Diceros bicornis minor: one gene and its partners. The main gene of each other region encodes a partner of the protein of the gene in region 2 in a complex. Links are inferred from orthologs where the notes say so. Each region holds a gene or a part of one and is shown on either strand. Other genes may lie near its edges.

Evidence for each region. Proteins that work in one complex are often made in the same cells at the same time.
Region 1: the proteins of OSGEP (region 2) and LAGE3 are in contact, whole or in part, in a crystal structure (PDB 6GWJ), measured with the Homo sapiens proteins. The link is inferred for Diceros bicornis minor from reciprocal best matches to the Homo sapiens genes OSGEP and LAGE3. Residues at the interface, in NP_060277.1 of Homo sapiens: Arg50, Ile53, Leu54, Asp55, Leu57, Gln58, Leu61, Gln69, Ala84, Val87, Ser88, Val91, Val92, Arg94, Thr95, Val96, Gln98, Leu99, Trp100, Asn101, Leu315, Ser318, Gly319, Val320; in NP_006005.2 of Homo sapiens: Glu76, Ile77, Gly80, Ser81, Leu82, Pro84, Asp85, Asp125, Gln126, Leu129, Val130, Arg132, Thr133, Met134, Arg136, Phe137, Gly138, Pro139, Pro140, Val141, Arg143.
Region 3: OSGEP (region 2) and GON7 share a complex: the UniProt entries of both Homo sapiens proteins name them as parts of the EKC/KEOPS complex. The link is inferred for Diceros bicornis minor from reciprocal best matches to the Homo sapiens genes OSGEP and GON7.

What each region holds. Positions count from the first base shown.
Region 1 is NC_080781.1:138,416,845-138,423,996, forward strand, and holds LAGE3 (EKC/KEOPS complex subunit LAGE3), read right to left. Parts: upstream 2,181-7,152; 5' UTR 2,107-2,180; intron 1,988-2,106; 5' UTR 1,729-1,987; coding exon 1,520-1,728; intron 1,198-1,519; coding exon 1,069-1,197; intron 826-1,068; coding exon 711-825; 3' UTR 504-710; downstream 1-503. UniProt on the Homo sapiens protein: Component of the EKC/KEOPS complex that is required for the formation of a threonylcarbamoyl group on adenosine at position 37 (t(6)A37) in tRNAs that read codons beginning with adenine.
Region 2 is NC_080744.1:28,852,577-28,860,447, reverse strand, and holds the start of OSGEP (tRNA N6-adenosine threonylcarbamoyltransferase), read right to left. Parts: upstream 3,017-7,871; 5' UTR 2,491-3,016; coding exon 2,376-2,490; intron 883-2,375; coding exon 763-882; intron 1-762. Other genes in the region: APEX1 (DNA-(apurinic or apyrimidinic site) endonuclease), read left to right, coding at 3,502-3,559, 3,765-3,952, 4,518-4,710, 4,850-5,367; PIP4P1 (type 1 phosphatidylinositol 4,5-bisphosphate 4-phosphatase), read right to left, coding at 6,441-6,584, 7,073-7,163, 7,268-7,320, 7,530-7,635. UniProt on the Homo sapiens protein: Component of the EKC/KEOPS complex that is required for the formation of a threonylcarbamoyl group on adenosine at position 37 (t(6)A37) in tRNAs that read codons beginning with adenine.
Region 3 is NC_080763.1:38,867,808-38,875,378, forward strand, and holds the start of GON7 (EKC/KEOPS complex subunit GON7), read right to left. Parts: upstream 3,004-7,571; 5' UTR 2,970-3,003; coding exon 2,762-2,969; intron 280-2,761; coding exon 185-279; 3' UTR 1-184. Other genes in the region: putative E3 ubiquitin-protein ligase UBR7, read left to right, coding at 3,225-3,374, 5,578-5,711, 6,172-6,232, 7,464-7,559. UniProt on the Homo sapiens protein: Component of the EKC/KEOPS complex that is required for the formation of a threonylcarbamoyl group on adenosine at position 37 (t(6)A37) in tRNAs that read codons beginning with adenine.

The DNA of each region.
Region 1 (7,152 bases), on a different chromosome or scaffold from region 2:
GGGGAGAAAAAGGGGAAAAAAGGAGGAGGATTGGCAATAGATGTTAGCTTAGCGCCTGTCTTCCTCAGCAAAAAGAGGAGGGTTGGCGTGGATGTTAGCTCAGGGCTGATCTTCCTCACACACACAAAAATAATAATTTAAATGTTCAATAATTACAATTTATCTTTTATGCATTTATTCAATAATGCTTTTGAAGAATTTTTAGAAAGAGTGAAAGTTCATATTAGATGAAAAATATCAGGAAAAATCCTAAACTTGCAAAATATCATGCATTATATATTATTATTTACTATAGAAATACAAGTATAAAAGTAAGAAAATATTCCAAAATGTTGACAGTAGTTAATACTGAATGACAAGACCCACCTTCTTCCATTTCCTAAATTGTCTTCAATTGCCTTGTCCTACTGGACTATCTGAATCCCAGAACCGCCCCCGCACCATGAGGACAAAGACAAGAATATTAGGAGGTGCAGTAGCTGAAAAGGAACTCAGACACGGAATAGCTGCTCAGTTTTATTTTCTGCTGTAATGAACACTGAATCACCAAACGAAACAAGTGGACCCTGAGTGCCCAAAGGCCAGTAAAAGCAAAACATCAGGGCCCCATAATAAAGTGGCAGCGACTGCAGCAATCTTCCGCCTAGGAAAGATGCACTGCCTTGGAAGGGACAGGAGGTTAGACCTTAGCCCCCTTTCCCAGCCCAGGCTTAGCGGGAAACAGGGGGCCCAAAGCACTGCATGGTCCGCATCACCAGGGAAAGCTGGTCAAGAAAGTTGATGATGGAAATTCGGAGGAGGCGAGAATCTTCAGCTTTCCAGCGGCTAAAGTGAGGGGAAAAGAAAATCAATTTGGACGCGGTAACTCCTCCCCTTCCTCGCTCTGCCTCTCAGGCATCCATTACACCGAATCCTTTGCTATGTGCATTAGAGCGCCCCCTCAGACGGAGACGGGTCTAGCGGACCATGTCCCCTCTCTAGACCTAACCCGTGTCTCCGTGTCTCCAATAGAGCGCCCCAGGTGGCCTGGACACCCGCTGCTAATCCTACCCAGCCCCGAGAATTTACACCGCCAGGACGCTGCCAATCACTGTGAGCTCCTTCCGAACCGCCCCTCGGTGGGGTTCCGCATCTGGGGTCAGGGACCCATGGGCGATCTCCGCCTCCAAGGGGGACGGGAAAGGCACGCTGAGGACGCTGGAGATTCGGTTAAGGCACCATCCATAAAGACTCTGTGCCTCGGGACCCCTCTCAGACCACCCTGACTAGTCTCACTCCTTCCAGGACTGCTTCCACCCCCTCCAGACCACCCGTGGCCCTAGTCCTCCCCAGCCACCCCGTTCCCCTTTACTCTCATTTCTTTCCCCCCCATACCAATCCCAGCCCCAGCCGTCCCCGGTTCCCCCCCGCTCCCCTTTCCGCCCCCAGGCTGCCACCGACCCATCTGTCCCTCTGCACGTCATTCCCCGCCCGCAGGCAGCCCCCAGACCATTCCCCGCTGTCCCCTCCGGTAGGATACAATATGTGTAGTCGGCTTTCTGGCCTTCTGGCTGTGGATGTGGCGTCTCCACCTGGCCCTGGGGCGTGCTGTGCTCGCGTAACACGCGGAGCTCCCCCGGCTGCAGCGGTCGCCGCGCCTGCACCGCCGTGGAGGCCGTGGCCACCCTCGCGGTCCTGGCTCTCGGCACCGCCCGCCGCACCGCCTGCGCCTGCGTCTGCTGCCTGCATGGCCGCCGCGCTCCGCCTTCGACTCCGCCCTCTCTGCCGGAGCCTAAGGAACTGTGGCTCCTTCCCAAAGCTCCGCCCCCTCACGCTGACTCCGCCCCGCACGCCTGCGCAAACAGGCCCTAGTGAGGCCGCCGGGCGCGTGGTGGATTCCCGCCAAAGCGACCATCCTGGAGGCTCTCGGAGACTCCGTTGGCTGCTGAGAAACTGAGGCTCCCTGCAGAAGCCCCACTCCTTCGCGCATGACTCGACCCCAGGGCGCCTGCACAAACAGGCCCCTAGTGAGGCCTCAGTTCCTGCCCAGCAGGCCCTGCCGCCCGCGGGCCCCGGGAGACCCCATGGCTACCTAGCCAATGAGCAGTCCCTCACCAAGCTCCGCACCTTAGTGCCCAGTGCCACGGGGGATCCCCACAGCGCCTGCGCAAACAGACACCCTCTGATTCCTTGGAAGGACGACAGGTTCCCGCCCAGCCAGGCCTGCCACACCCCGAGACATCCCGTTGGCTACCTAGCCAATGAATGCTCCTTCATGAAGCTCTGCCCCTTAGAACGACATGTGACCCCAGCGCGCCTGCACAACCGGTCCTGCCTCGCCACCTCGCTCCCCCGCCCCCCCCCCCCGCCCCGCAAGACCTCGTGTGAGGGCGCCAGATGTGTGGCCGGTTTCCCGCCCTATCTCTTTCCCAGAGCCAATACCCCCAAGAGATGTGGCTCGATGTCCTGGCAGTGATTTGTGGAGGGAGGTGGAATTGGATAGTCCCCGAGGGATACTGCTCTGCACCCCGCCCCATTGGCCATGTAGGTGGAGAAACCAAAGGGGAATTTAAAGGGGGCAACAACCCCATCAGATTTTATTTTTAGAAAGATCACTAAGTGGGCCGTGTGGAGGTCAAGCCTGCCAGCAGGGAGGCCCCCATGGAGGCAAGAAGACAAATGATAGGGACCTGAAATAAAGTAGTGGCAGTGAGAACCATCAGAATGCAAGACTAAAATCACTAAAATCCCAATTAGGGAAATTACTGTCTATATGCATAGAAATCCTAGAACAATACAGCAAAATGTAAACACTTGTTATCTGGATGTGATGGGATTGTGTTGTTAACTTTTTTGTGTTTTCCCCAAACTTTAAAAAATTTTTTTTATTTGTTTATTTATTTTTCCCCCAAAGCCCCAGTAGATAGTTGTGTGTCATAGCTGCACATCCTTCTAGTTGCTGCATGTGGGACGTGGCCCCAGCATGGCCAGAGAAGCAGCGCGTCAGTGCACGCCCGGGACCCGAACCTGGGCCGCCAGCAGCAGAGCACACGCACTCAAACGCTAAGCCACGGGGCCGGCCCTCCTCAAAATTTTTGACAGTAATCTTTTATGACATTTTTAATAAAAAATATGTTTTTAAAGTGACATGAAATTTTTGGTGGTGATTGTCGTTGCTTTTCTATTTTCCTCCTTTGGAATCAAAAGGAAGGACATGAATCTGAACTATATCATCAAATCTCGTTGGCTCTCTCCTCAAAATAGATGCTAAATCAGCCAACTTCTCTCCCTTTCCGTTGCTAGTCCCCTGTGGGAGCCACCGTCTCTCTCTGAACTCCTTCAACAGCTTCCTGACTGGTTTTCTTCTACCCTTGCACCTCTGCAGCCTGTTCTCTACACAACAGAATCGGTTCTTAATTTTTAATATAAATCACATCATATCATGTCCCTGCTTAAAATCCTAAAACGATTTCCCATTGCCCTTGGAATCAAATCCAAACTCCCTGTCATAGCTTATAAAAGCCCTGTGTGACCTGGCTCCCAGTTCCTCCGACCCCACCTGCCTGCTTTCTCATTCTCTGCAGCCTCTGGGGCCTTCTCTCTGCTACTGACCAAGGGTGGCCTGCCCTCAGCCCTTTGCACTTACTCTGCTATTTGGAAGACTATGTCCCCAAACTCTCCCATGGCTAGCTCCTTTTTGTCATTAGGATCTTGGCTCCAATGTCACCTCTGAGAGGGCTTCTGGATCACCAATCTGACATACTACCCCCAGCACGCTTCTTCATATTTGCCCATTTCAATTTGCTGCATAACATTTCTAATAATCTGAAATTATAATTTCGTTTTGTTCTCTTCTGTATTGTTGATATATCATCACTGGTATGTGTTCAGTGCAGTTTATGCAGTAGGTGCTTTGTTGTTTGTTGAATGAAACAGAGTATTAACTAAGTACAAAACTGGAGCACTGCCTTGGAACCAGCAATCCCGCATGTAGGATGTTACTTCACAAATATGAAACAACACATTCACAGAGCCACTCACTGTAACATAATTGGTAATGGAAAACTATTGGACACAAGGTACATGTCTGTCAGCAGGGAACTGGTGAAATAAACTATGCTACATTCATACAATAGTCCTAAGCAGCAGTAAAAAAGAATGAAAATCTTTAATGAAAAATAAAATGATCTCCAGGATATATTGTTATGTGAAAAAAGCAGAGTGCAAAGGACACACACATGCTTATTGGAAAAAAAGAAAAGACATAGGAAGAAGAAACGCAAAACTAATGAAAATGGTCACCTCTAGGGTGTTCAGATGGGTATGGGATTTCTTGGAATATACCTTTTTGTGTACTTTTGACTTTGAACCATGTGAATATTTTATGTGGTCAAAAATACATTTGAAAGAGTGAAAAAAATCAAATGCTAAAATTGAATAAAAACAAAAACAAATGAGCCTAACTGCATATCCAATTGATAACAAAACCACACAGAAAACAATTTAGGTGCCTTTCAACTCAGCTCTCTGACTGGACTGCTTTCATGGGATGTATTCTAAGAACCAAAAGAATTGGCTTTCCTCTTAGTATGTTCGTCGTTGGCAATGGTAGTGATGAGGTCAGTGTGGAGCTCTTTGGGGTGTGCTTTAACATAGACTCCACCCGGTAGAGCAAAAGAGTAAATATATGGATGTCGAGAACCCGAATTCTCACTGTGGAATGGGGGAAGGTGAGAAAGAACTGTGATGCTGGATTGGAATTAGGGATTGCAGTATGAACTCTTTTTTGTGTGTGTGTGAGGAGATCAGCTCTGTGCTAACATCTGCCAATCCTCCTCTTTTTTTTTTTCTGCTGAGGAAGACTTGCCCTGGGCTAACATCCGTGCCCATCTTCCTCCACTTTATATGGGACGCCGCCACAGCATGGCTTGACAAGTGGTGCGTCGGTGCACGCCCAGGATCCGAACCGGTGAACCCTGGACCACCACAGGGGAGCACACGCACTTAACCACTTGCGCCACTGGGCCGGCCCCGCAGTATGAACTCATAAAAATATATATTTCTGGGACTGGTCTGGTGGCATAGTGGTTAGGTTCACGTGCTCTGCTTCGGCGGCCCAGGGTCCACAGGTTCGGATCCAGAGCACAGACCTATGCACTGCTTATCAAGCCATGCTGTGGCAGGCGTCCCACATATAAAGTAGAGGAAGATGGGCACAGATATTAGCCCAGGGCCAATCTTCCTCAGCAAAAAGAGGAGGATTGGCAACAGATGTTAGCTCAGGGCTAATCTTCCTCACACACACACACACACACACACACACACAAAAAATATATATATATATATATATATATATATTTCCTAGTTCGAGCCAGTGAAAAAGTCTAGAAGCAGTGACACCCCAGTAGCAATGAACACACCCTGCACTCAGACCTTGGTTTCTCAGTATCGTTCTCCACTCAAAGGACCAGAGCTCCCTGGAGAAATGGTGGATTCGGGCCGGCCCCGTGGCTTAGCAGTTAAGTGCGCGCGCTCCGCTGCTGACGGCCTGGGTTTGGATCCCGGGCGCGCACTGAAACACCACTTCTCCGGCCATGCTGAGGCTGCATCCCACATACAGCAACTAGAAGGATGTGCAACTATGACGTACAACTATCTACTGGGGCTTTGGGGGGAAAAAAAAACAAAAAAGTAATGGTGGATTCTAGGGCTGGGGTAAGAAATACACAAGCTGAGCCTGGAGCACCTTGTAGTGCCAGAAAGTCAGGAAGTGCTTGAACAACAGAAGCATGAGGCATGTCAAAGGGACTCAGGAACTAACCCGAGAGAAGCAAAGCTAGAACAACTTGAGCATCTAAAAGAATATGAACGATTTTGGAGAGGAGCATGACTGGGAGGGGGCACCAGGGAAGGTGCTGGAGTGCTGGTGGTATTCTCTATTTCAGTCTGGAGAGGATAGATACATAGGGTGTTCACTTTAAAGGTCCATTGCACTGTACAGTGATATGATTTATGCACAGTACTGCATGAATGCTGTAGACCAATAAAAATGACCCCAAAATGACACTCTTGGATTCTAAGTTGTTGAATAAAAAAAAACGATGCATCCACCATGATAATTGAGAAAAGAGAGCAGGGGAAAAGGAAAGCTCTTCATAGAGAAATGCCAATTAACAATTGTAGAAAGAAGGAAAGCATCAGAGGGGCCAGCCCCCTGGCCTAGAGGTTAAATTCAGCATGCTCTGTTTCAGCTGCCCAGGTTCAGTTCCTGGGCGTGGACCTACACCACTCATCTGCAGCCATACTGTGGCAGCGATCCACATACAAAATAGAGGAAGATTGGCAACAGATGTTAGCTCAGGACAAATCTTCCTCAGGGAAAAAAAAGGATCAGAAAACCACTGTTTTGCAGCCCCCAATGCAATTCCTTCTGGTCAGGCTCATCCTTGGTTGGTGAAACCATTAGATAAGGATTGTTGCGCACAAGATATGGACAGGGTCTCAAGGTATTACCCCAGATTACTTGTGCATTAAGAAGAGAACATGCAATTTTGCAATGGGGAGACCTGGCAGCCACCACCTTGACCACGTGATCAAAACAAACCGAGCCTCCCCCACAGTGGGACCACCTGACCCCGAGTGCCTGCTGATGCTGTTGAGGGAGAGGGGGAAGGAAAGCAACTTGTCAAAGTGCTTAAGCTGAATCTAACAAGGAAGGAATCAGGCAAATCCAGACTCTAGAACATTCTACAAAGTAACTGCTCTGGACTCTTCTAAAAATATTGTTGACAGATTGCCTATGGAGAAGGGAGAGTTGGGAGAGGCAAAGGTGGCCTCCCACTTCCTGTCATTAAAAGCCTGGCTGAGTGGTATTGCCATTCATTGAGCCAGGTCGTGGAGAAAATGTGGGTGCTGAGGGGCTGCCCAGCACTGGCCATGGGTGCTAAGAGGGAAGGGACTGTGTCTTTCAGTCTCAGTGTTGCCAGCATTTGGGACATGGCGGGCACTCAGTGAGTGTGTGCTGAAGGAATGAGTGAGGTGTTTGCAGGAGAGCCAAGAGCTGTCTTGGAGTCCCACCCTGGAGATGTGGCCTGGAGCTCAGGAGAAGGGCCTGGATAAGCCACAGACGTGGGAGTGAAGCATAGAAATGGAAATGAAGGGTGGCCCAGTGGC
Region 2 (7,871 bases):
AGGAGTTGCTTCTTATGGATGAGTAAAGAAAGTGGTTTCTTGAGATGGAATCTACTCCTGGTGAAGATGCTGTGATGACTGTTGAAAAGACAACAAAGGATTTAGAATATTACACAAACTTAGTTGATAAAGTAGCAGCAGGGTTTGAGAGGACTGACTCCAATTCTGAAAGAAGTTCTACTGTGGGTAAAATGCTATCAAAATAGCATGGCATGCCACAGAGAAACCATTCATGAAAGGAAGAGTCAATTGCTGCAGCAAACTTCATTGTTGGTCTTATTTTGAGAAACTGCCCCTCAGAGAGAAGGGGCAGAACCAGGGTGACCACAGTGAGTACCTGGCCAGGGCTTGTCTTGGGCCCCAGCCCCAACCCCCCTAAAAAGAGAAATTGCCCTAGTCACCCCAACCATCATCAATCACCACCATCATCAGTCAGCAGCCATCAACATGGAGGCGAGACTCTCCACCAGCAAAAAGATTATGACTTGCTGAAGGCTCAGATGATGGTTAGCAATTTTTAGCAATAAAGTGTTTTTTAATTAAGGTACGTACATTGTTTTCTTCAGACATAATGCTATGGCACACTTAATAGGCTACAGTACAGTGTAAGCATAACTTTTATATGTACTGGGAAACCAAAATACTTGTGTGACTTGTTGTATTGCGATATTAGCTTTATTGTAGTGGTCTGGAACCAAACCTGCAATATCTCTGAGGTATGCCTGTATATTCTTCCACTGGCGACCACGCTCCCAGCCATACCTTTGGTGTAGGCAATGCAGTCAACATCCTGGGAGGTTAATCCAGCCTCTGTTAGTGCCTCCTGCAGCAGGTCCAGGATAACGGCTCGGTGGTGCCTGGCAGTATCACCTGGAAGGAATCCTAGGAGATGGACACAGGTCAGAGATCATAGGGCTTTTCTATAGCAAAGGTAGGTAGAAGTAAAAAACAGGCATTTTAGTAGTGTAAGAAGAGTCCCTTTCACTCTCCTCATGCATCCTGTCTTCCAGGTTTTCAGATCTACTTCTTCCAGCCTGTTCAGCCATGCTGAACAGCTCTCAGAAATGCCCTTCTTCATACTCAACTCCTACTCAGCCCTCAGGACTTAATTCAAGTGACACCTATCTCATAGCCTTTGGAGATCTTCTCTGCAAGCCTACAGAACCTTGTGCGTGATCACATCATTGTATTTAACAAATAACTATTATAGCATTATAATTATCTGTGGTTTCCCAAGTTTTAACCATGAGCATCTCAAAGCACTGGCTATTTTATTTATCTTTGTATTCCTGGTGTCAAAATGCTTAGACGAGTGAGTGCTAAACATACACATGTATTGGTTTTTGTTTTTTTTTTACTTTTGTTTTTTATTCATTTTATTTTATTCTTTTTTGTGAGGAAGATCAGCCCTGAGCTAACATCCGTGCTAATCCTCCTCTTTTTGCTGAGGAAGACCGGCTCTGAGCTAACATCTATTGCCAATCCTCCTCCTTTTTTTCTCCCCCAAAGCCCCAGTAGATAGTTGTATGTTGTAGTTGCACATCCCTCTAGTTGCTGTATGTGGGACACGGCCTCAGCATGGCCGGAGAAGCGGTGCGTCGGTGTGCGCCCAGGATCTGAACCCCGGGCCACCAGTAGCGGAGCACGTGCACTTAACCGCTAAGCCACGAGGCCAGCCCCACATGTATTGTTAATGAGTAACCTGTCACAACATCGCCTGTTCACGGAGGCTTTTCAGGTATATGCAAGTCAATTACCCTTCCCTATGTATGCAGGTAATTTGGAGGAGGATAGGCAAGACGTAACATCATAACTTACAAATAACATTTATTACAAGTGCAATGTGTCTGGTACTTTTATTTAATTCTCAAGACCCAATGACCCAGGTACTATTATTATTCCCATTTTAAGAGTAAGGAACAGAAGTCCAAAAACAAATACTGAACATGAATACTGCAAAGCCAGCCAGTTCTGTCTGACACCTAAGCTGAGAGTCTTTAAACTTCTTCTCATTCTAGAATATTTTGATTGCATCTATATTACACTATTTACCGTACTGTAAAGTTCTGTTTATATGTCGGATTCCATAGCAGGCTCACAACACCTATTTTTGTATCTAGCAGCCAGCTGATTATTAGCACATAAAAGGCACTCAATAAAAGCTGAATGTACCCAAAAGATCCAGGTCCAAGTGCCTGCGACTCTTCTATTATCAGCCTTGTGACGTTAATACTGTCAGAATCTCAGAGACTCGGATCAAAACTCTACGAAGCGGACAATGCGCTCCACTCCCTATGTCACTAGTGTTTGAGGAGGAGGAAGGTCATGCTGTGCAGAGAAGCGCGCCGCAAACTACAAATCCACTACTCACGCACCTGTGCCCGGAGGCGTGACGTAGGTCCGCCGCGGGTTCGCCAGCACCGTGCCATCCCGCACCACTCCCACGCCAATCTTGTTGGCGCTGCCTTCAAAACCCAGCACCGTAGGCATGGCCAAGCTTGAGAGAAAATGCCGGCAGGGCTCCTAGCTGCCAAAGGATCCGCGGAGCCCTCACCAGGCCCTGCAAGGTCGCTGATTCCGGAGCGCAAAGAAAGACCACGAGCAAGCCGCCGCTAGGTAGCGGCGCGCACAGACAGACACTAAAGTACTCCTGCGGGTGGCGCGCCCGCGCCGGCCCCGCCCCCGTGTCACGGCGACCCGTCAAGGCCCCTTCAAGGACCTGTCCTCCTAACTGCCAGAGACGCTGAGCCGGCATCTCCTCCGTACGTTCCCATCCGTTCTTCTGCCTCTCTCCCGCGGTTCAGCCCAGGCTTCTCCACTGATTTTCTCCCTCTTGCACAGTGTTGGGGTCTTCGGCCAAGGTGGCAGAATGAGTCGGGCATCTGGCACACCGATAAACAGCCCGAGGATGGAGGGTTAGGTCCTTCCGATTCCGGGAGACAGGGCGAAGGGCGGGAAGGCCGAGCTGCCCCGTCATGTGGTGCCAGACAAACCAATCACCAGCATTCCTCCGCCACCTAATACATACCTCAGAACACGTGACCACGCCAGTTACCCACGTGGGGCCACAACGTGCTGCATTCTTTGTGCTCGGGTGAGGAGGAGCCAGGCTGGGACTCGGGGAGGTCAGATCCGGGGTTGCTGTTCTTTGCCCATCACAGGGGCTTCTCTGGACGTCTGATCGGCCAGCCTAAATCGGCACCCTTAATTAAGGCCCTGGATTGGCCGGAGGGCAGATCTCGCGAGGAGGGTACAAGGCAGTATAGAATGATCTAGTCTTGTGGGTGAGGGGCTGAAGGGCCTATAGTGCGCGGAGGCGGGGAAAGGATTCTGAGATAATATGGTTTCAAAGGCGGGACCTAGTGCGAGGGCGCCCGAGGGAGGAGTTTTTTCCTCAGCCTCAGCTGGTTTCATGATTTCTTTGCGTCTGTAGGCAACGCGGTAAAAATACTGATTCGGTGGGCGACGCGGAACGGGTGCCGAAGGGCGTTTGTTACAGTGATGCCGAAGCGTGGGAAAAAGGGAGCGGTGGCAGAAGACGGAGAAGGGCCCAAGACTGGTAAGAGAATGAAATGAGCCCGTCTCCCTAGAGGCTGCGATGGGGTGTTTCTAATTGCTCCGATGAACGGAAGTAGGCCAGACTAAATATATTTTTGCCGAGTTTCTGAAAAAGGCGCGGCAACTGCAGGCTGTGGGTCTGTAGTTAACTCTGGATCAAAATTAAATACCGCCAAGTTTTATCACTATGTATTACTCATTTATAGAGCCAGAGGCCAAGAAGAGTAAGGCAGGAGCAAAGAAAAACGAAAAAGAGGCAGCGGGAGAGGGACCAGTCCTGTATGAGGACCCCCCAGATCACAAAACCTCACCCAGTGGCAAATCAGCCACACTCAAGATCTGCTCCTGGAATGTGGATGGGCTTCGAGCCTGGATTAAGAAGAAAGGTTTAGATGTGAGTGCAATTCAAGGAGGGGAAGAGACAGCCTTTAGTATTGAATGATCTACGGGTTTAATTGCCTTTTCTCATTTTAGTCCCAAGCATGTAGGTTTTATTTTTCCCTTATTGGTAGTTTTCTTGGGGGAGAGGCACAAGGAGGGCCTTCACCAACTCATACCAGTTGTATTTCCTAAAGGTCCATTCCTTCAATTCCCTTAGCATTGTTTTGATGTCCTCATCTCTTCCCCAGCATGTTGCAAAAACCTTGTTACTGGACTTGCTCCATTTTATCTCCAGCATATCCTCCATTTAAATTACTGCTTAAAAATCTCAGCTGGCTATCCATTGCCTGTAGAAAACCACATCTCAGTGTTGCCTGTACCACTCTCCCTACCTCCCTCCATCAGTGGCAGTTACATAATTTATCATTGTTTAAATTATTTAAATATTGTGCCTAGACTGTTACACTCCTTTTCCACAAGGACTGTCTCACTTGTGTATCTCTAGTACTTAGAACATAACTTCTTCAATAAATGTCTGCTGAATTGATGATACTTTTTCTACCTGTCATTTCACTCAGTGGGTAAAGGAAGAAGCCCCAGATATCCTGTGCCTCCAAGAGACCAAATGTTCAGAGAACAAACTACCAGCTGAACTTCAAGAGCTGTCTGGACTATCCCATCAGTACTGGTCAGCTCCTTCAGACAAGGAAGGGTACAGTGGTGTGGGCCTGCTTTCCCGCCAGTGCCCACTCAAAGTCTCCTATGGCATTGGTGAGACCCTATTGATTCCTAACGCCTGAGCTCTTTCAAACCAATTGCTAATACCCGACTGAGCCCCAATTCTTGATTCCTTTATTCTCTGTTTTCCCTTTTATACCTCTTTATTCTGATTGTTTCATCATTTCTGTAGGTGAGGAGGAACATGATCAGGAAGGCCGAGTGATTGTGGCTGAATTTGATGCATTTGTGCTGGTAACAGCCTATGTACCTAATGCAGGCCGGGGTCTGGTGCGCTTGGAGTACCGGCAGCGCTGGGACGAAGCCTTTCGCAAGTTCCTGAAGGGCCTGGCTTCCCGCAAGCCCCTTGTGCTATGTGGGGATCTCAATGTGGCTCATGAAGAAATTGACCTTCGTAACCCCAAGGGAAACAAAAAGAATGCTGGCTTCACGCCACAAGAGCGTCAGGGCTTTGGGGAATTGCTGCAGGCTGTGCCACTGGCTGACAGTTTCCGGCATCTCTACCCTGACACGGCCTATGCCTACACCTTTTGGACCTATATGATGAATGCACGCTCCAAAAATGTTGGTTGGCGCCTTGATTATTTTTTGTTGTCTCACTCTCTGTTACCTGCATTGTGTGACAGCAAGATCCGTTCCAAGGCCCTGGGCAGTGACCACTGTCCCATCACCCTATACCTAGCACTGTGACACCTCCCCCAAATCACTTTGAGCCTGGGAAATAAGCCCCCCAAACTAGCTTTAAAACTTCTTACCCCCGCTCCCAAACTTCTTTAAAAACTGCTCTCTAGAGAAATCTGCACTGTATTTTCTTTGTGAAAATATGAATCCTTCAACCAGGCTCCTAGTGACAGACTTAGGTTTTCTTTAAGCCAGAGGTTTGGTTTTGTTTTTGACGGGTTTTTTTTTTTTTACATTAAACAAAAGCTACTGATGACTTCCTTGACCTGTCCATGTGAAAATAAAGAGCCATAGTTTCAGCCTTGCTGTCTTTGTATTCTACCCCTTTGTAGGGCTACAAATTCCCCTCCTCATCTTTTCATACGTATAGATTAACAACTGGAAAAGGACAGTCATAACCTTATTTATTTACAAGCACAGGATGAGTCCCTAACTTCCCCCAACAGAGAAGAACCCTACCCAGCCCAGTTAAATACTGCAACTGAGAGGTAAGGTTAGGAGGAATGAAGGAAAACACAGGACTAGGGGAACATACCCCACATTAAATAGTTATATACACATCAGTTCCTGTGGTTCTGTACAGAGCAGCAGCTGACCCCACCCCCACAGGACACAGAATGGGGGGAGAGGAGACTGAGGGTACTGAGGCCAGAGCCAGCCCCTGGTGAAGTGCAATAGCAGCAGCAAGGTCCTAAGAGTGCACAAGAGGGAGGGAAACCCCCAGGGCTACCCACCCCGACCCTGCCCTGGAATGTGTAAGGGACAGGAATGGCTCTTGGGGAGCACATAGGAAGAACGAGGCTAGAACCGTCTTTTAGGGCCCAGGTTTAAGGGCAACATTTCACCTACTTCACTCTCAACAGCAACCCCTGGGGGAAAGCAGATGGCCAGCAGTGGTCTTATCTACCCTTCCAAACCTAGGTGAGGGCCTGGTTCCTTCCTACCTCTCCCCAGGGAAAAGGAAGGCAGCTGCTCGGCTCCTCTTACAGAAGCCCTGGGGAGCCTTTTACCACGGCTCCCTCTGTAGTGTCACTGTCCCCACCAGGGAGGGGCCAGGCACAGTCTGTGGGTCGTCATGGGGCTCAGGAGAAGTTCTGGACAGGGTGGCTGACCTTCATACAGGCCCAATAGAGGGCCCGGCCCAAACACAGCACAGCCAACAGGATGACAAATGCCCAGGCTGCATAGATGCCTCCATATCGCCGTGCATGCTTCCATGTGCCAAACTGATGAAGGTGAAGAAGAAAAAGAAAGATGGGGTTACTGCTGATCTCTCACCACTTTCTAGGAGCCCCGGTAACAGTAACACAGAACTCAAGCTTCAGTTCCTGTTCCCTGTCCACATGTAGGCACCTTCAGGGACCTTTTTAAAGGCCCAGTTGTTCAGCTCCCTCCTCCTAGGCAGGAACATAACTCATACAATCCTAGACAACTGTCAGATTTTCTCAATATCTTAGGTTTCCTAATACCAACTCTTTAATTTAAGCCATTTCTCTGTTGTCCTATCCTCTGCATAAAAAAGATGGCTGGTTTTTACTCCTTTAGTAACAGCGAGGACTGTTTATCAGTTAGTTCAACTTCAGCTCATCTGCACATTAAAACAAGACAAAACAACCCAGCCCTCAGTTTCACTTTTTTGGGGAGTAGCCATTTCCCAAATCTTAGCCTGTGGAGATGAGGCTGAAGAATGAAGGGTCTGATCAAGGTTACTCACAGCAAGGCCAGTGGCAGTGATTGCCAAGAGTAAGCCAAGCAAGAAGCAGCAGATACATCTCTTTCGTGGATATCTGCGCCCAATAGATGACCTGTGGGGAGCCAAACAGAAATAGACGCTTGTAATGACCCTGTAGTTTTCACTCTACACATTACCCCATTACCAGCCCAACGATGCCACTCTTTAATCACTTACACTTTCCTGCAGTGAGGGCAACGGGCCAAGGTTCGATCTGTGAACTCTGTCCACTATGGAGAAAGAAAAAGGGAGAAAGCAATTAATAGTAGAAGCTTTAATAGTAGAAGTCATCTTCAATAAGAGCCCTAGGGCAGGGAGAGGGTGAGAAATAGGTCCTCATAGAACAGACCTTTTCAGGATTCATTATCATCATTCAGAAATATATTCATGATTACTCTTGTTTTTCTTTTTTCCAGGGCTTCCCAATATCTCTCCTCACCAGAAAAGTATTCTTGCAATGTCCACAGATGACCCTGACACCCACGGGTTGTGGTTCTGGACTCAGAGGCCCTGGATGCACAGGCCCAAGATTGATGATTCTTTTGCTGTACAGGAGAAAAAGACTATGTTCAAAATATTCTTAATCCTAAGGATCCCCACGCTATCCTTCCTTCACATCCCCTACTCCCTGCCTCTCTGAGTTCATCTACTTCTCTGTGCATTTAAGGCTCTGCCCCCCAACCGTACCCCAGAGAATCATTGAAGAAGAGCACTGTTTAAACTTCAGGTCTCTAATTCCTCTTTTACTTTAGGATAATTCTCCCAGTCCCCGAGACTCTCC
Region 3 (7,571 bases), on a different chromosome or scaffold from region 2:
GATACATTTCTAAACATTTATTATATCTTTTTTTGATGGAAACAGACAAGACAGTTCCTTGACAAAACTGTCCCAGGAGAACAAAACAAATGCTTTTCCAAATTAGAGCACAAGTCTTCTTTAAATGTCAGTATGAGATAACTAAGTTATAGTAGCAGTCTTTTAAACTTCATAAAAGCTATTGTTAAGATGGTGGTTTCGGCCGTTTTGCAGATGGTCCATCTGAGTTAGTTCTGTTATCAATGTTATTTTCATCTTCCACATCATCTTCATCATCACCTTTTAAAATAAATATTTGTTGTATGACAATATGTTCAGTGCTTGAAAGAAATATAGATAGCTAAAATGGTTGATAATGAGACCATTTCACTTTAGGGGTTAATAAAACCATGCATATATCAGATCTGAAATATGTATGGTTAAAAAGATTTCAGGGGGGCCGGCCCGGTGGCGCAAGCGGTTAGGTGCGCGCGCTCCGCTGCGGCGGCCCGGGGTTCGCTGGTTCGGATCCCGGGCGCGCACCGACGCACTGCTTGGCAAGCCATGCTGTGGCGGCGTCCCATATAAAGTGGAGGAAGATGGGCACAGATGTTAGCCCAGGGCCGTCTTCCTCAGCAAAAAAAGAGGAGGATTGGCGGATGTTAGCACAGGGCTGATCTCCTCACAAAAAAAAAAAAAAAAAAAAAAGATTTCAGGAATTTTGGTGTTTAAAACCTTTCTTTTCTATCACTGTTTTTGGAGATATAATTCATATACCATAAAATTCACTCTTTTAAAGTATAAGGTTTATTGATTTAGTATATTCACTAGGTTGAGCAACTGATCATCACTAATTTCTAGAACACTTGCATCATCCCAGAAAGAAATCCCACACCCTTTAGCAGCCACTTCCTATTCCTCTCAGCCCTTGGCAACCACTAATCTACTTTCTATCTCTACAGATTTGTCTATTCTGGTCATTTTATATAAACGAATCATAAAATATGCGGGCTTTTGTGTCTGCCTTCTTTCACTTAGCATGTTTTCAAGGTTCATTCACATTGTAGCAGTTATCAGTACTTCATTGGTTTTTGCTGCTGAATAACATTCCATTGTATCAACATGCATTTTGTTTATCCACTTATCAGCTGGCGGACACTTGTGTTGTTTCTACTTTTTAGCTATTATGAATAATGCTGCTATGAACATTCATGCATACGTTTTTATGTGAACGTATGTTTCCAGTTCCCTTGAACTAGGAACGGAATTGCAGGGTCATACAGTAACTTCATGTTTAACTTTTTGAGGAACTGCCAAACTGTTTTCCAAAGAAGGTACATTTTACATTTCCACCAGCAATGTATGAGAGCTCCAATTTCTTCACATCCTAGCAACACTTATTGTTCTTTTTGATTATAGCCATCCTAGTGGGCATGAAGTGGTATCTTATCGTGGTTTTGATTTTCGTTTCCCTGATAGCCAATGACGTTGAGCATCCTTTCATGTGCTTATTGGCCACTTGTATATCTTATTTGGAGAACTGCCTATTCAAATCCTCTGTACATTTGGTAGATGGATTATTTGTCTTTTTAGTGTTGGGTTCTGTCACTTTTCTTTAGTAAGTCTTATAATTTTAAAACTTGGTATATTCATATAAGTTAAAATTCGTCATTTTAATCTCTGTCACTTTTAACAATGGAAATCCAAACCTAAGCTTTATGGGGACTTGTTTAAAGATACAAAAACATGTCCATCTATACAAAGACATTACACCATTAACAGAACAGGTGGCAGTTATTTCTGCAGTAAGTAATGACAAAATTTTTTTTTAAATGGCTCTAACTATATTCATTCTCATGCCAATGGTAATATTTTCAACAGATTAGGAGAGGTATTTTGGAAGCAAGAAACAGGATTTCACTCTCATGGAAACAACCTATTGTCTGAACTTGGTGTAATGTTCTGAATTGGCTCCTTCAAATTATCTGAAACTATCAAGATGAAAACAAGATGGAAAGAAAAAAAGTACAGTACAGTTTAAGCTCCTCTACAAAAAAGCTAAGTCCTGACTCCAATATTCAGTTTTTAGGTTCTTCAGCTCAGGGCAATCAAATGTCCCTATTTTTGTATTTAAGATGAGACTTAAAAAAAAAATTAATGCAGCTAAATTTCCCGCTTTGACTTTCAAACTTCACAAACAAAACTGAGAAAGGGAAGGAGTCCCTGCGAGTTCAGACTTGCTCAACTGAAATCTGTTCCAATCTTCGGAACCTGCTCCTATTCTGCGATAGATGGCAGCCTTCCAAACATGTTTGTAATTTCACACCTGGGAAAACTCCCTGTCATCCTTCAATAGCCAGCTTAAAAGTCACGCCCTCTCTGAAGCCTTCCGGGGTTCCCTGGGTTTGCAACAGTTACAGAAGGCCCTGGGGTCACACTCGCCCTTTTTACCCAGAGTGTCTACCTGTCTAACCGCTCACCAGAGTGAGAGTTTCGCAGGTAAAGGAACCGAGTCGCCTTCACCTCATTCTTTCTCCAGGGCTCAGCCCCATGCCTGACACCTAGCAGGAGGCGTGCAGCACGTTTTTTGTGATATAAATGAAGAATCGCGAAAACGCTTGGGTAAGAAGCAGCCCAGATTAATCAGCCCAAATACAGCGGAAAGTGCCAACGTCTTTTAGGAAAAACTTCTTCCCCTGAGGCTCACTTTCTCCAAGTCTGCCACTCTCCACGGGCGCCCCTGCCCCGCCCTCCTGTCGCTCCACACCGTCTCAGAGCTCACCGTCCAAGGCCTCGTCCGGTGCCACCGCCTCCCTGTCCTGCGCTTCCCGCTGTACCAGGGGGCCGAAGAGCTCGGCCACCAGCTCCCTCATCTGGGCCACTCCCGACAACAGGCTCTGGAAAGGGTCGGCGTCGCCGGGCGCCTCACAGGGCACCCGCAGCTGCCGCTGCTGCCCGTCCTGCCCAACATACTCGCCCAACAGCTCCATGGCGACCGCTGAGTTTCCAGAGCGCGTCACAAGGATGCGCCACCCGGAAGCGGAAGCCAGCCTACGGCGGGCGCGGGCGGGAGAAGGGAGGGGAGTAACTTCCGTTCATCGGAAGTCGCTCCTCCCCCTTCCTTCACCTCCTTTCTTTGGGATTGGTTCCTGGGACTCAGGCCCCGCCTCCTCCGGCCACGCCCCCTCGAGGCCGCTTTTCCCGCCTCCGCAGGGACAGAGCGGCGGTCCTGGTGACAGTTGAGCATGGCTGGAGCGGAGGGGCATGCTGGGCGGCAGTCGGAGCTGGAGCCCGTGGTATCGTTGGTCGACGTGCTTGAGGAGGACGAGGAGCTAGAGAACGAGGCGTGCGCCGTGCTGGGCGGCAGCGACTCCGAGAAGTGCTCCTACTCGCAGGTGGGCGCGCGGCCCGGGCGTGGTCTCCCCCGGGCTCCGCTGAGCCTCCTTTTCCCGACCGGACTTGCCCTGTTCCCGCCTGCCGCGGCCCGGCTCCCCCGTGCTGGTGCGGGGCCGCCGTTCTTCGTAGGCTCCCCCATGCCAGGCCCAGCTGCCCTTTTACCCTCAGCCCCTGGGCCCCCTTTCTCAGCCCCTGTCCAGCAGAAGCCCCCTCGTCCATCGGTCTGCCTCCGTCCGGCCCCTCAGGATTCCCGAGGCTCTGGCCCTGGAGCAGCTGCTCTGTCCTTCCTCTCCCGTTTCTTCTCGGCGCCCGGCTGCTTTTTACGAAACCATCCCCGTGACCTCTCACAATTCAGACATCTTTGTCCCTACTTTTCCGATCCTAAGAGTATTTATTGGGAACCGAATGGGAGAGTGAAAGCAGAGTTAAAGGAGAAAGGTCTGGATTTGAAAATCTCCCTGTGTGGGCTGGGCTCCTTGACAGCTAGTTCCTCTGCAATTTAGTTTGACAAGTGCTAGCTGGTAGCTTTTTGGCGAGACGAAGCAAGTACTGTGTCTGGCTGCCGTCTGCCCCCCATGGGGATGGACCTGAACCAGGACAGCAGGTGGCACTGGCAAAAGAGGAGAGGGGAAGAGGGAAGGAGCTACTTGAAGAGGAAATTTGGCACTTGGAAGATGTGAACAAGGATTTGAGGGGGTGTGATGTAGTGTTTGGTGACTCATCCGATATTTCTAGGTACAAAAATGGAGAAAGGTGGGTAGAAGAAAACTAACAAGGGATGAGAATTGGTAGGAGGAAGAATGTTACTTTCCAGGGGGGTGGAGTGGAACATTGGGGGATGAGGAGAGAGACTTGGGGTCATTATGTGATGTGGACTGAGATCATAATACCAGTTGTCACCATTGGCCAGTCAAGCTTACACTGCCAAATGGTTAGATTTTTGAAAGCACCTGGTATCTAGAGATAGTCCCAGGTGTTGGCTGGTATTTTAAAACGTTTGGTCACCACCAAAACAACTTTTTCTCTGCTTTCCTTTTTTAAAAAAAGCCTGTACATGAGCTATTTTTGAAATGTAGTTAGCTTTGTAAAACAGACTTCCTTAACGTTTTCGTTTTTTATTGTAGGAAAATGTATGGAAAATTACACAGAACATGTGTAGGGCTTGAAAAACAAACACACATATGCAGTTACCTACCACCCAGATCAAGAAATAGAACATTACTGGCATTCCAGAAGCTTCCTTGTGTCTCCCTTCTTCCTAGAGGAGGGTAACCATTGTCAAGATTTCTAAAAGTTTTGCCTGTTTTTCCTTCAGCTTTTTATTTTGAAACATTTTAAATCTACAGATAAGTTGAAACACCTTTGTACCTCTTACACATATTCACTTTTTAACATTTTACCACATTTGTTTAATCTTTCTCTTCTTCGTAATATACTATTTCCTGCTGAACCATTTGAAAATAAGTTGCAGATATCATGACACTACACTTCTAAATACTTCAGCATGCATCTCCTAAATATCAAAGGGATTCTTTTTTTTTGTGTGAGGAAGATTAGCCCTGAGCTAACATCTGATGCCAATCCTCCTCTTTTTGCTAAGGAAGATTGGCCCTGTGCTAACATCCGTGCCCATCTTCCTCTATTTTATATGGGATGCCGCTACAGCATGGCTTGACAAGCGGCACCTCGGTGCGCACCCAGAATCTGAACCAGCAAACCCTGGGCCGTCGAAGCAGAGCACTAGAACTTAACTGCTACACCCTCAGGCCAGCCCCTCAAAGGGATTCTTTTAATGCATTGATTTTCTCTTTGGTGGAATCACAGCATTTTCCGAAATTAAAGTGTGGTGTTCCTTACATAAACCTACACACATTCTCCTACATTTTCATGTGTTACAGTCACTAAACAGACCTGCTTATTCATAGCTGACTGAGAATATTAAACTTCCTATCACTTTAAGAAAAAATTGTATGAAAACAAGCACTAATGTAGTAAATATATAGTGATCTGAAACATGCAACAATGTTTTGGTACTCTCTCGTGTAAGCTTTCTTATTAGTCTTAGTGGTTTTTACAGGAAGATCTTGACCACACATAATCTGATTTCAGTTACTTCTCAGATCACATTATGGGTATTAGGTAACCATGCCATATTTAATTAATTTATTCTCTCTCTTTTTCCATTTTGGGGCTGTCTTTTAGGGCTCAGTAAAGAGACAAGCACTGTATGCCTGTAGTACTTGCACTCCAGAGGGAGAAGAACCGGCAGGAATTTGCCTAGCTTGCAGTTATGAATGCCATGGAAGTCATAAACTATTTGAACTATACACAAAAAGGTAAAGACAATTAGAGATTGGTGCTGAATGCTTTTTAAATGTTTAGATTCTTTCCAAGCTGCATTTTTTTCTTAATCTTGCTTTTCCATTCAAAGTAATTGTGCACGGGTAAAATTTAATGTAATTGTCTTATATAGTATAATTGGACAGAAGAGTTTTTCCAGAGGGCTTTTTAAAATACAATTATGGAACAAACTGAAACTACTCATCCTTCTATGCCATTATTTTACTCGTGTAAGTTACAGATATTTGTCTTTATGCATGTTAATTTCAAGAATTATTAAATCTTTTATCGTTATGTGCTTGGAGAAATTCCAAATTGGATACATGAACAGCAACCAAGGCCACTTTTTAGATCCCAAAAATGAGTTGAAAGGGAAGAGACTATGATATGAACTTAAAGAGTAGGTCATTAGATTTAAAAGAAAAATTAAAATTGGCTCTTCCTCCTTTGTTTCAGAAATTTTCGTTGTGATTGTGGAAACAGCAAGTTTAAAAATTTGGAATGCAAATTATTTCCTGTAAGTAAGCACTGTAACTATAGATGCATTGAAAGTAGCTGAGATTGATATTTGCCAGAGTGGGTAAAAATCAAATATTTTCCACAAAGGAAGTTCTTATGCTTATTCTTGGCAAATGGGCAAATCAATATTAGACTGTATTCCAGTTTTTATCCTGTTGGAAAGCTAAGTAACCTGTTCAGAGCCTACAGTATAGATTGTAATTAATATGAAAGGTTTGGGCGAATGTTCTTTGAAGTGATTCAGGTTTAGTTATGTTGATTGTACTCATGCTCTAGGACTTTTAAAGCAGAGGGTATGACTAAAAATTGAATAAATATGGGGCCGGCCCCGTGGCTTAGCGGTTAAGTGTGTGCGCTCCGCTACTGGCGGCCCGGGTTCGGATCCCAGGTGCACACCGACGCACATCTTGTCCGGCCATGCTGGGGCAGCATCCCACATACAGCAGTTAGAAGGATGTGCAACTGTGACATACAACTGTCTACTGGGGCTTTGGGGAGAAAAAGGGAAAAAAAGGAGGAGGATTGGCAACAGATGTTAGCTCAGGGCCGGTCTTCCTCAGCAAAAAGAGGAGGATTGGCATGGATGTTAGCTCAGGGCTGATCTTCCTCACAAAAAAAAAAAAACTGAATAAATAATTTGATAATAATGAATATGGGCTAGTTGCACACAGGAGTTTTTACTGCTTTTTGGCTAATAAAAACTATGCTTATATGATAAGTTTTAGTGAAATAACAGAAATGAAAGAGAAAGTAAGGGATTTTGCATTGTTCGATCATAATTGCCAAAACTGTCATGCTTTTCCCCTCCTTTGAAACTTATTTTTAGGCAATTTTCTTGCCCGCTTTTTACCTCCTGGTAACCTGGGAGCTTTGGCTTTCACAGCTGGGCATTAAGAAGCGCTTTCAAATTCTAGGCCAACATCAGTTTACATAGGTTGATAATTAATTAATACTTATAGTTAACTTGTGTCACCATTTTATTAAATGGGTGTATTCGGTTTCCCCCAATTGCTACAAAGAAGTTACAAAAAATAAATTTTATTTTTGCCCTGTATCCTGGAAAAAGTATCCCTTTAATAGGCGTGAATTTTTTGTACTTTGAAAGTTAAAGACCAGCTCCTGGGGGGAAGATATTTAATGCAGAAATTTACTGAATGCATAAATTTCATGATGCCTGAAATTATAGTTAAAATCAGAACATATTATATATTGAAATTAATATCTTACAGGACAAAGCAAAGACAAATTCTGGCAATAAGTACAATGACAACTTTTTTGGATTGTACTGCATTTGCAAGAGACCTTATCCTGATCCTGAAGATGAGGTAAGAGCATTG